2 linked regions of the Schizosaccharomyces pombe genome follow. The gene in region 1 interacts genetically with each later gene. Each region holds a gene or a part of one and is shown in the gene's direction. Other genes may lie near its edges.

Evidence for each region. Genes that interact genetically often act in the same process or in processes that back each other up.
Region 2: of cut20 (region 1) and cut2, extra expression of one is lethal in a mutant of the other (dosage lethality), as found in Schizosaccharomyces pombe (2 studies listed by BioGRID, with this or other methods).

The regions. Positions count from the first base shown.
Region 1 is NC_003424.3:4,041,252-4,046,601, reverse strand, and holds cut20 (anaphase-promoting complex platform subcomplex scaffold WD repeat subunit Apc4/Cut20), read left to right. Parts: upstream 1-1,977; 5' UTR 1,978-2,182; coding exon 2,183-2,420; exon of another isoform or gene 2,421-2,468; coding exon 2,469-2,688; exon of another isoform or gene 2,689-2,730; coding exon 2,731-2,853; exon of another isoform or gene 2,854-2,873; intron 2,874-2,944; coding exon 2,945-3,002; intron 3,003-3,028; exon of another isoform or gene 3,029-3,047; coding exon 3,048-4,568; 3' UTR 4,569-4,793; downstream 4,794-5,350. Other genes in the region: MutL family mismatch-repair protein Pms1, read left to right, coding at 1-97, 169-1,425, 1,467-1,702; prp12 (U2 snRNP-associated protein), read left to right, coding at 4,838-5,350.
Region 2 is NC_003423.3:2,202,493-2,205,985, reverse strand, and holds cut2 (securin cut2), read left to right. Parts: upstream 1-1,769; 5' UTR 1,770-1,779; coding exon 1,780-2,670; 3' UTR 2,671-2,986; downstream 2,987-3,493. Other genes in the region: TIM23 translocase complex subunit Tim44, read right to left, coding at 1-432; eno101 (enolase), read right to left, coding at 3,430-3,493. UniProt on the Schizosaccharomyces pombe protein: Regulatory protein, which plays a central role in chromosome stability. Probably acts by blocking the action of key proteins.

The DNA.
Region 1 (5,350 bases):
AATTTGCCAAAAATAGCAAGAGTTATTCAAGAGGTATTTAAGCCGTATAGTATGGCACAATCCCCGTTTTTTGCCATCAATCTTCGCATCACAAATGGTATGTTCACTTTAAAAACTATGTTTGAGAGAATCTATATACGTTCACTCATTACTAACCAATTATTTTAGGAACTATTGACATCAATGTATCTCCAGACAAAAAATCTGTATTTTTGTCTGAAGAGGATTCCATAATTGAATTTATTAAAAACTCCTTGCAAAACCTATGTGAAAGCTGCGGACATGCAATTTCTTGTTCCAGATCGCAATCCATTTTTTCATATTCCTCGCAAATTCCTGATTCCTCTGGAGACAGTACAGATCAGGAATTGCCTCAGTCAATTCCAGCAACAGAATCCGAAACAAGTGATGACTCAAGTTTTTCTTATAAACGCTCACCATGTAAAAGAAAGCTCGTAGAAGCTACTGCTCAACCAGCAATATCCACTAGTGTTGCAGAAGGAGCGTCATTAGCACAAGTATCCAAACCTTTGCCAGAGCGTTTGCAAAAGGATTCTATGAGACGAAGTAGCCCATTAAACGAAAAAGTTACGGCCTCTTCCGAAAGAATGAAGAAAAAGCTTGCCCTATTCGCTTCTAGTACTGATACTTCTATGCAGAAAACAATAGACTCTAGTTTCCCACTAAAGCAACCCATCAATAAACCTAGCTCGAATCCTAACAATTTGTTACTAAATGATCCAAGTCCAGCATCAACACCTGTTGCTAAAACAATTAATTTAAACGAGATTGAGTCGGTACACAACGCAGAATCAGTTTCCACACTCTCGAGCATTCCTCGTACTGAGCAAACCAGTGTTGCGAACAGAATTCCGTCAAAAACTGCAGCGCTACAAAAGCTCAAATTTTTTCAATCTAGGCCCTTGGATGGTTTAAACAAGTTTAGTAAAAAAATAAATATATCTTTGAGTGGAGTGCAAAAAGATATTGTTCGAAGCGATGCCTTACTGAAATTTTCGAACAAGATTGGCGTGGTGCATGATATTTCAGATGAAAATCAGGAAGATCATTTGAATCTAACTGTACATAAAGCCGATTTTTTAAGAATGAGGGTTGTTGGTCAATTCAATAGAGGATTCATAGTGGTTGTTCATGGAAACAATTTGTTTATAATTGATCAACATGCCAGCGATGAAAAGTTCAACTATGAACATCTCAAAAGTAATTTAGTTATCAACAGCCAAGACTTAGTCCTTCCAAAAAGACTGGATTTAGCTGCTACAGAGGAAACTGTTTTAATTGACCATATAGATTTAATTCGAAGAAAAGGATTCGGCGTTGCTATAGATTTAAATCAGCGAGTTGGTAATCGCTGCACTCTTCTTTCAGTTCCCACGAGTAAGAATGTCATTTTTGACACTAGTGGTAAGTTTATTAACGAAGATCTTGACCTTTAACTTCTGTAGATTTACTAGAGATCATCAGTGTGTTGTCTGAGCACCCACAGATAGACCCATTTAGTAGTAGGCTTGAGCGAATGCTTGCTTCAAAGGCTTGTAGAAGCAGTGTCATGATTGGTAGGGCTCTAACTATATCCGAAATGAATACAATAGTTAGGCATCTTGCTGAGTTGAGCAAGCCTTGGAATTGCCCTCATGGAAGGCCAACTATGAGGCATCTCCTTCGATTAAAAGATATATAATGCGTAAAAGAAAGACTTTTTTAACGATTCTAGAATTTCAGCTATTGAATTAATGAATAATATTGGTTTATTTACAATGTATTTAAAACATAGCAATCAGCAATTATTAAAAGTGAATCTCTTATTGCCAAACTCAATTGAAATTTTTATCATTAAAGAATTATTTTAAGCGAACTTGAACCATGAGGAAATGATTTTTCTTTAGATGTAAATAAACATCGTACTAACGAGGTATGCACAGTTGGATAATCGCTTTCTTAATGTTTTGTATCCCTACAACTTTCATCAACTTCAGTTTTGCAATATCAGTCTTACTTCCTAATAAACCATCTATGCTAGCAAATTTAAAAAGGTTGTATGATAATTGTTGAAACTATCCATTCACTAGATATTTTATATACCTGAACAGGCTTTTATTGACTTGCTGTACTACAATAAACAAACTTCTACGAATCACCAAAATCATCCAGTCTTATCCAAATGGTGTCAAAATCTTTCAAATACCCTAAAAAGCATAAATTTGAATGGATTAATGAAACTAATAGAGTTGAAAGGGTTGGAAGTGGCCTTAAACGAGTAATCTTATGCCCTTCTATGGAACTCATTGCGATATTAACGTGTTCAAATCATTTGATTTGCTGTAGAAGTAACAGTCAAAGAATTTGGGATGTCGATTTTCATGATCTCGAGGCTACTGAATTGTGTTGGAATCACGATGGTACGTGGCTCGACTGGAAAACTTTTTTTGTATCATTAACATAAATAGGGAATTTAATAGTTGTTGGATTTAAAAATGGAGAGCTTAAAATTATTGATTCCTCCACAGGACATCTGGTTGAGCAAAGGCCAGCTTCCAGAGATTTAGCGGTTCTAATGATAACATGGGCCATGCAAGAAACGATAGTAAATGAAAAACGCAATGATTTTTTATTTGATGCCACTGCATATATGCCTTTACTTGGTACACTTCCTAGTTCGGCAAAAGAGTAAGTAGTAACACAAAGCGACTTGTCTCTTACATTTTTTAGGGAACGTATATTTTCTTCAAAAGCAATCGCACAATTTTTTGAGCCGAGGAAACGAGAGGGTGAAAATAACAAAAAAGTTGAGCTCTTAAGTATTTTGGATGAACGTGGAATTAGATACATAAAGTGCGTATCAAAAACCCCTTATTTATTAGCATCTTTCTAAAAGAAGTTTTTTTATCGATCGATACAAATTAGAAGTACTAACTATTCATAGTATGTTTTCGTCTTACAAAATCGGAGAAAGCGATTCTTTGAAATCAGCCTTGAACTTGGTATTATACCCATGTTATTAAATGTCTTGCTCACACAAATTATAGGGGGTTCCCATTTCACACAGCATAACCAACGACTTAGCATATCATGTTCTTATTTGTAAAGGAGGAACGAATATTTCTTTGAAAACACTTTATATGCCATTACTTAAAAATGATTTGGGAAGTATTGTGGATATTGCAACAATGTCTACACGTATGCAACATTTGGTAAGATATCTTGAGGAGGTATTGAATGCTATGTATGAAGAATTTGACAATGTCTTCAAATCAGAAGCTAGCTTTATTAAAACCTTTGATGCTTTAGTGTCCAAGTACAGTGACACAACTTTCTTTTCTTTACAACTAGAGTTATATCAATTTATAATGAACGGTATACCCAGCGACTTACTCAAAGAATGGATCAACGAAAGAGTCGGTGATCGAGTACTAAAAAATTGGGAACGGGCGATGGTGAATTCGTACACGTCCTTAATCATTTTCTGTCAGGAATTCGTAATACCTGCTTGTGAAAGGTTAACTGTATTATTATCTTCTGCCAGAGGAAAGTCAATATGGGGCCATATGAAGGGAAACACATTACTAGATGCTAAATTGGTGGAAGATTGTCTAGCAACTTTGGGTTATTTACAGAATAATGTTTTTTCGTTTCTCAATTGCCTTTTTGAGGAAAAAAAGTATATGAAGCACTTTATTTCATGGTTGAATTACGCTATCGTCGAGTTTAATACTTCTGAACCATCTTCTATTCCACCGCAAGAGATTATTGAACATATTAATGAAACCGTAATTTATATTCGTCATTCTTTATTCCGCTCGAAACTAACAAGTTACTTTATGGGCACAAAACCCCTTCAGCTAAGAGATCCTGATTATTATTCTCTCAAGGATTTTGCAAATCAAGACGACAGTAATTCTGTTGATGATTTCGTATCATTCAAAACCTTGAAAGAATCTTTAAGAGACTCATTCAACGTCATTTTTAGCTACCCTTCTTTAACTTGTCAAAAGCAATGGTTAAAAACCGGAGACCTTGTTTTGTTTGAAGGGACTGATTGGAATGTATCATCTCTTATACCAAAATCCTGTAATGAAAAAAACCAATTATTTTCATTATTCTTTCGAAAGGATACTCCGAATATATTCTTAATAATTTCCCAACTTATGGAAAATACTATGTTGCCTGTATCTGGATGCCACTTTGGCTTGGATTATGCAGAATTACTAGGAAGCAGTCTGTTGGATTTCCAGCCCGCAACTGTTTTAGACATGAAGCTTTTAAACGGAAGTAGTATTTTAATACTTGGAAAACTAAAGGAGAAGTGCTTCTTATGTGAAATTTGCTTAGCAGACGTTCCCTTAACCTTTTTTGAGCACCAGCAAAAAAACAGTTACCTTGATGCTATCAGTCATCTTCCTTTCATTCCACTAAACAGTTGCCTATGGCTGCATGAATTTGAGAAGGATTTCCTTCCTTCAACACTCGAATATGCCCTTTCTGAGAATAGCGATTACGGAGTCCTTATTTCAAGGGAATCTTCGAGATATCGTTTATTCTCTTTTTAATGAGCTTATGTTTAATGGTCGTAATGTTTTTTTTTTCTTGTTTTTGAAGAGCAAGTTACATTTTTTGTAGCGGTCTTTTAAATTTTCTTTTCTTTTTTTTAATTCTTTAATATAATTTAAAAGCAGAAAATTTATACAATATTTTCAATTGCAATAACTTCATTTAGAAAAGTCAACATATAACGAAGTTTTTTACCTTCTGCTATAAGTTTCCTTGATACACTGACTTCTTCTCTCAGCGAGGATCGTGTTTCAGCTAAAGTATAGAGATGGACACCTTCCCTTCTCTGTTTCTATATTCCTTAACAATACAGAATAGTAATTATGTTCAAAGTTCGTGTGCCGCGTCCTTGTCTGGTAAAAAGGCACAGGAGATAGTAATTGCTACAGAATCAAGGTTGCTTATATATAAAGTTGATGCAACTGATGGGAGAATGAATTGTATTTTAAATCAAAATTGTTTTGGTATTATTCGAAATGTTGCTCCTTTGAGATTAACTGGTTTTAAACGCGATTATCTCGTAGTCACGTCGGATTCAGGACGAATAACCATTTTGGAATATAACGTTGAAAAAAATAAATTAGTGCCAATATACCAGGAAACTTTTGGAAAATCAGGAATTCGAAGAGTTGTTCCTGGTGAATACTTAGCCATAGATGCGAAGGGGAGGGCCGCTATGATTGCATCTGTGGAGAAAAATAAGCTGGTTTACGTACTAAATCGAGATTCAGAGGCTAACCTAACAATATCTTCACCACTTGAAGCTCATAAAGCTAATAAT
Region 2 (3,493 bases), on another chromosome or scaffold:
ACGTACGGGTTTTGTGGCAGTGTCAACACCAGTAGCTACAGTATTAGCGGTGCTTGAAATGACCTTTTTTGATAATTGTACAGGAGCACTTTCCCAAGCTTTTTGGGCATATGAGCCAATCTTGGCACCAGCTTTGCCAACAGTTTTTCCTGTGAAAGATGAAGCTGCAGTAGTTCCCGAGCGCGCTTTTTCGTAAGCATCTCTCGCTTTTTTGAAAGTGTCGCTTTCACTTAATGATCCTGAACTATCTTGCAATGCTTTGACACTGTCCTGTAATTCCTGGCTCTTCTTTAATTCTGCTCTAAATGTATCCATGAACACCTTGATTGGCGATTGAGGTGCTGCATTTTGAGAGAATATAGACGTTTGGAAAAACCGCTGGCATTGAACTATTGTGCGGGCATTTTTTGTGATTTTTCTTGATAGAAACATTTTCTTTCCTATTGAATAAATAAATCTCAACGCTATTACGCGAAAATTAATCCACTTTGCTGCCTTTTATTGCAAACCGATATAGCAGCCTAGTGAGTGGTGGATGGAAGGTTCAAGTGCCACAAAGGTGGAAAGATACCTTAATCCTAAATATCGAGAAGTAGTCTTTTGTTAACAAAAGTTAGCATATTCTCTTATATTTGGACTTTTTTACTTTACTAAGAGGAGTTTACGATTAGAATTTTTACGAATTCGCTCATTTTATCTGAAATGCAACTATTAAAATATTGATATAGAGGGAAGCATAAATTACGCATGATCCTAATATATTAAAGAATAAGAGTACCGATCAATTTCCTTTCGTATTGGTTGAAACAGTCGTAGCTGTTGCTTACAATATTGTTGGGAATCGATACCATGTGGGTGGTAAGAGATCGTATGAAGTTATGAAAAAAAGTATTCAATAAGCAGCATAGATATATTACAATGCGTTATATAGAACTGGATAATTTGAGTATGTAGCGGGTTTTGGAGATAAAAGCAATAGTATTAATTAGCATTTTGAAGTTTCGTTTATTCATTTGTAGAGATTTTTCAAATCTAGAAAAATTTAAAGATCTCTTAATTTTGTATCTTTTTTTTTTTTTTTATCAGTTTGATAGAATGTTTGTATGTAATTCTTTCTAATAACATGCGACGTTTGTTGTGCCCCTAAGTTTCTTTGATGAAATTTATTTGAAAATAAGGAAGTAGCTGGTTTATACAGAATTCAAAAGGCGCATTTAAGTTGTAGTAAACCTCGAATTTTTCTGATGATTAATGTGTTTCATGATTTTTTATGAAAACAGTTGTTGAAGCTCCTATATTATTTATCACAGGTTGTAAATTTTCAGCTTCAATAACGAAATGGGATACTTAAAGTCATAACTGATCAATTTTGGCAGACAGATCTAGCTTTAAAAGCTTAGATTCATTCAACATCAAGTTTATACGAAATGATCAGTTGTAATACACTTCCAACTTTTCTGATAATGATTCAGAATGATTACAACATAGTATAGTTGGAATGTAAAATTATTTGTTTCATGAAGAACTGGTTTTCCATCTTGAACACTAGACGATAAAAGCAACCTGAATATCATAAATCATCTTCAATCCAATTAAGCAATTCAAAAACAAAACAAAACAATTTATTATGCATTTGTAAAAGTAAAAATTTAAAAGGTGATCATATTTCTTCAAATTATCGCTTTGTTTACTATTTTAAATTGTGCAGGTCACAATTGAATGTCACCTGTGAAATAATAAACCAGCCTTGGACTATAGACAACGATGTTGCCAAGAACCATGTTTTCATATGGAAAAGAAAACGCTTTTCCTGTAACTCCCATATCAAACAGAAATGGTACAAAAGGAGCGGGCTCCAAAAGAGCACCATTGGGGTCTACAAAGCAGTCGAATGCACCTTCTTCTGTAACGGTTCCTAGAACGGTACTGGGAGGTAAGAGTACTAACATTTCCAAATTTATTTCTGCTCCCAGTACAAAGAAAATGTCTCCTATGGATATTTCGATGGATTCCCCTACTATTTTGGAGCCAAACTCACAAGGAATTTCCCGATCAGCCGTACAAGAGCGGTCGAAGCGACTTTCGGCTAGCCCTCGTCGTTCCTCTTTAACAGACACTCCTTTACCAAATGAACTTGAAGAAGATATCGAATATATGCCTCCTCCTGTTCATTTGGACCCCATTCAATCCCTGGGGTTTGACGACGTTGCAATTGATTGTGAAACGCTCGATCCTTGGCCTAGCATGCAGAATAAGGCTACCTCAGTAACTATTCGTAATACACCTGCATCAGATTTCCATGTTTACAAGGAGTTCAGTGATGATGATCCTATACAATTTCCTCTGCTCAGCGTAGACGGTGACTCCCCGTTAACAGAAAAGGATACTAACCTGACAACACCCGCTACCTTGAAAGCTTCTGATCAACAAAGAAAGGTTCTCGAAAAGCCTTCTGTCAGCAAACAATCCTCTTCCAGAACACGACTCAGTACCGTTTATCGCACCAAGCTGGCATCTGGTAAATCCATCCCTCGACCCTTATCTCATAAACTCACACGACCCCGAGTAACTGCATCTGGCAATAGCCGTCGGCGCCCTTTATCTCGTTCTATTCATTCGTTATCATCTTCACGAATTGATTTTTCATCTTTGGATACAGGATTGTTATAAAAAGATTCCGAATTTTCAGGTTTTGTGCGTACTGGCTTCCGCTTCTACGATTGTAAGTATGATTCTTCCGATGGCTTTGATTTCCCTTGTTGTTTAATTTGTTTCACCACTTTAATGCTGTTCTTTTTTTTTTTTTTTTTACTTAAATGCATAAAGCCTATACGGTCCTTAATTTATGACATGTTTTTCGTTCATGACTTTTCTGTACAAATGATTTCCTTTTCTATATGCTTTTTTTTTTTTGGCTTTTCTGGTTCAATATTTTACTATTGTAATGTAGATGAATTATGTTAATAATATTGTTATTTTCATTCTACGTTGATGAATATTATAAATACTAGTAGGTAAGATGCTGAGGAATAGAACATTTTCCAGTGTTAGTAGTAGTAAAGTGACTGATAAAGAGCAAAGGTATCCAAAAATTTTGGCTACACATAAAAATATGTACTAGGTCAAAGACAAATTTCTGTGTTTTACAGCAGATGCACACATTCCAAAAAAAATTAAGATGATTGAAAAAAAAACACTATATAAACGAAAACTAAAATGATCATCTAAAAAAAAAAAGGATGCAAATTAGCACAAAACAATTATATCAGCTACTTCTACTACAACAACAGTTTACTTTAATACTAATAATAAATAAACACGCAACCTGGCAAATTAATCCAAAACGCAAAAAGGATAAAAATTTCATTGCATTCTATAAAAATAAACATGTATTGTAAACATTAGTAAAATTTAATGTATGCTCAGAGTTTAAAACTTAGCAGCCTTGATGTACTTGCCAGCATGGGCACCAGCGTAAACACCCTCGGAACCG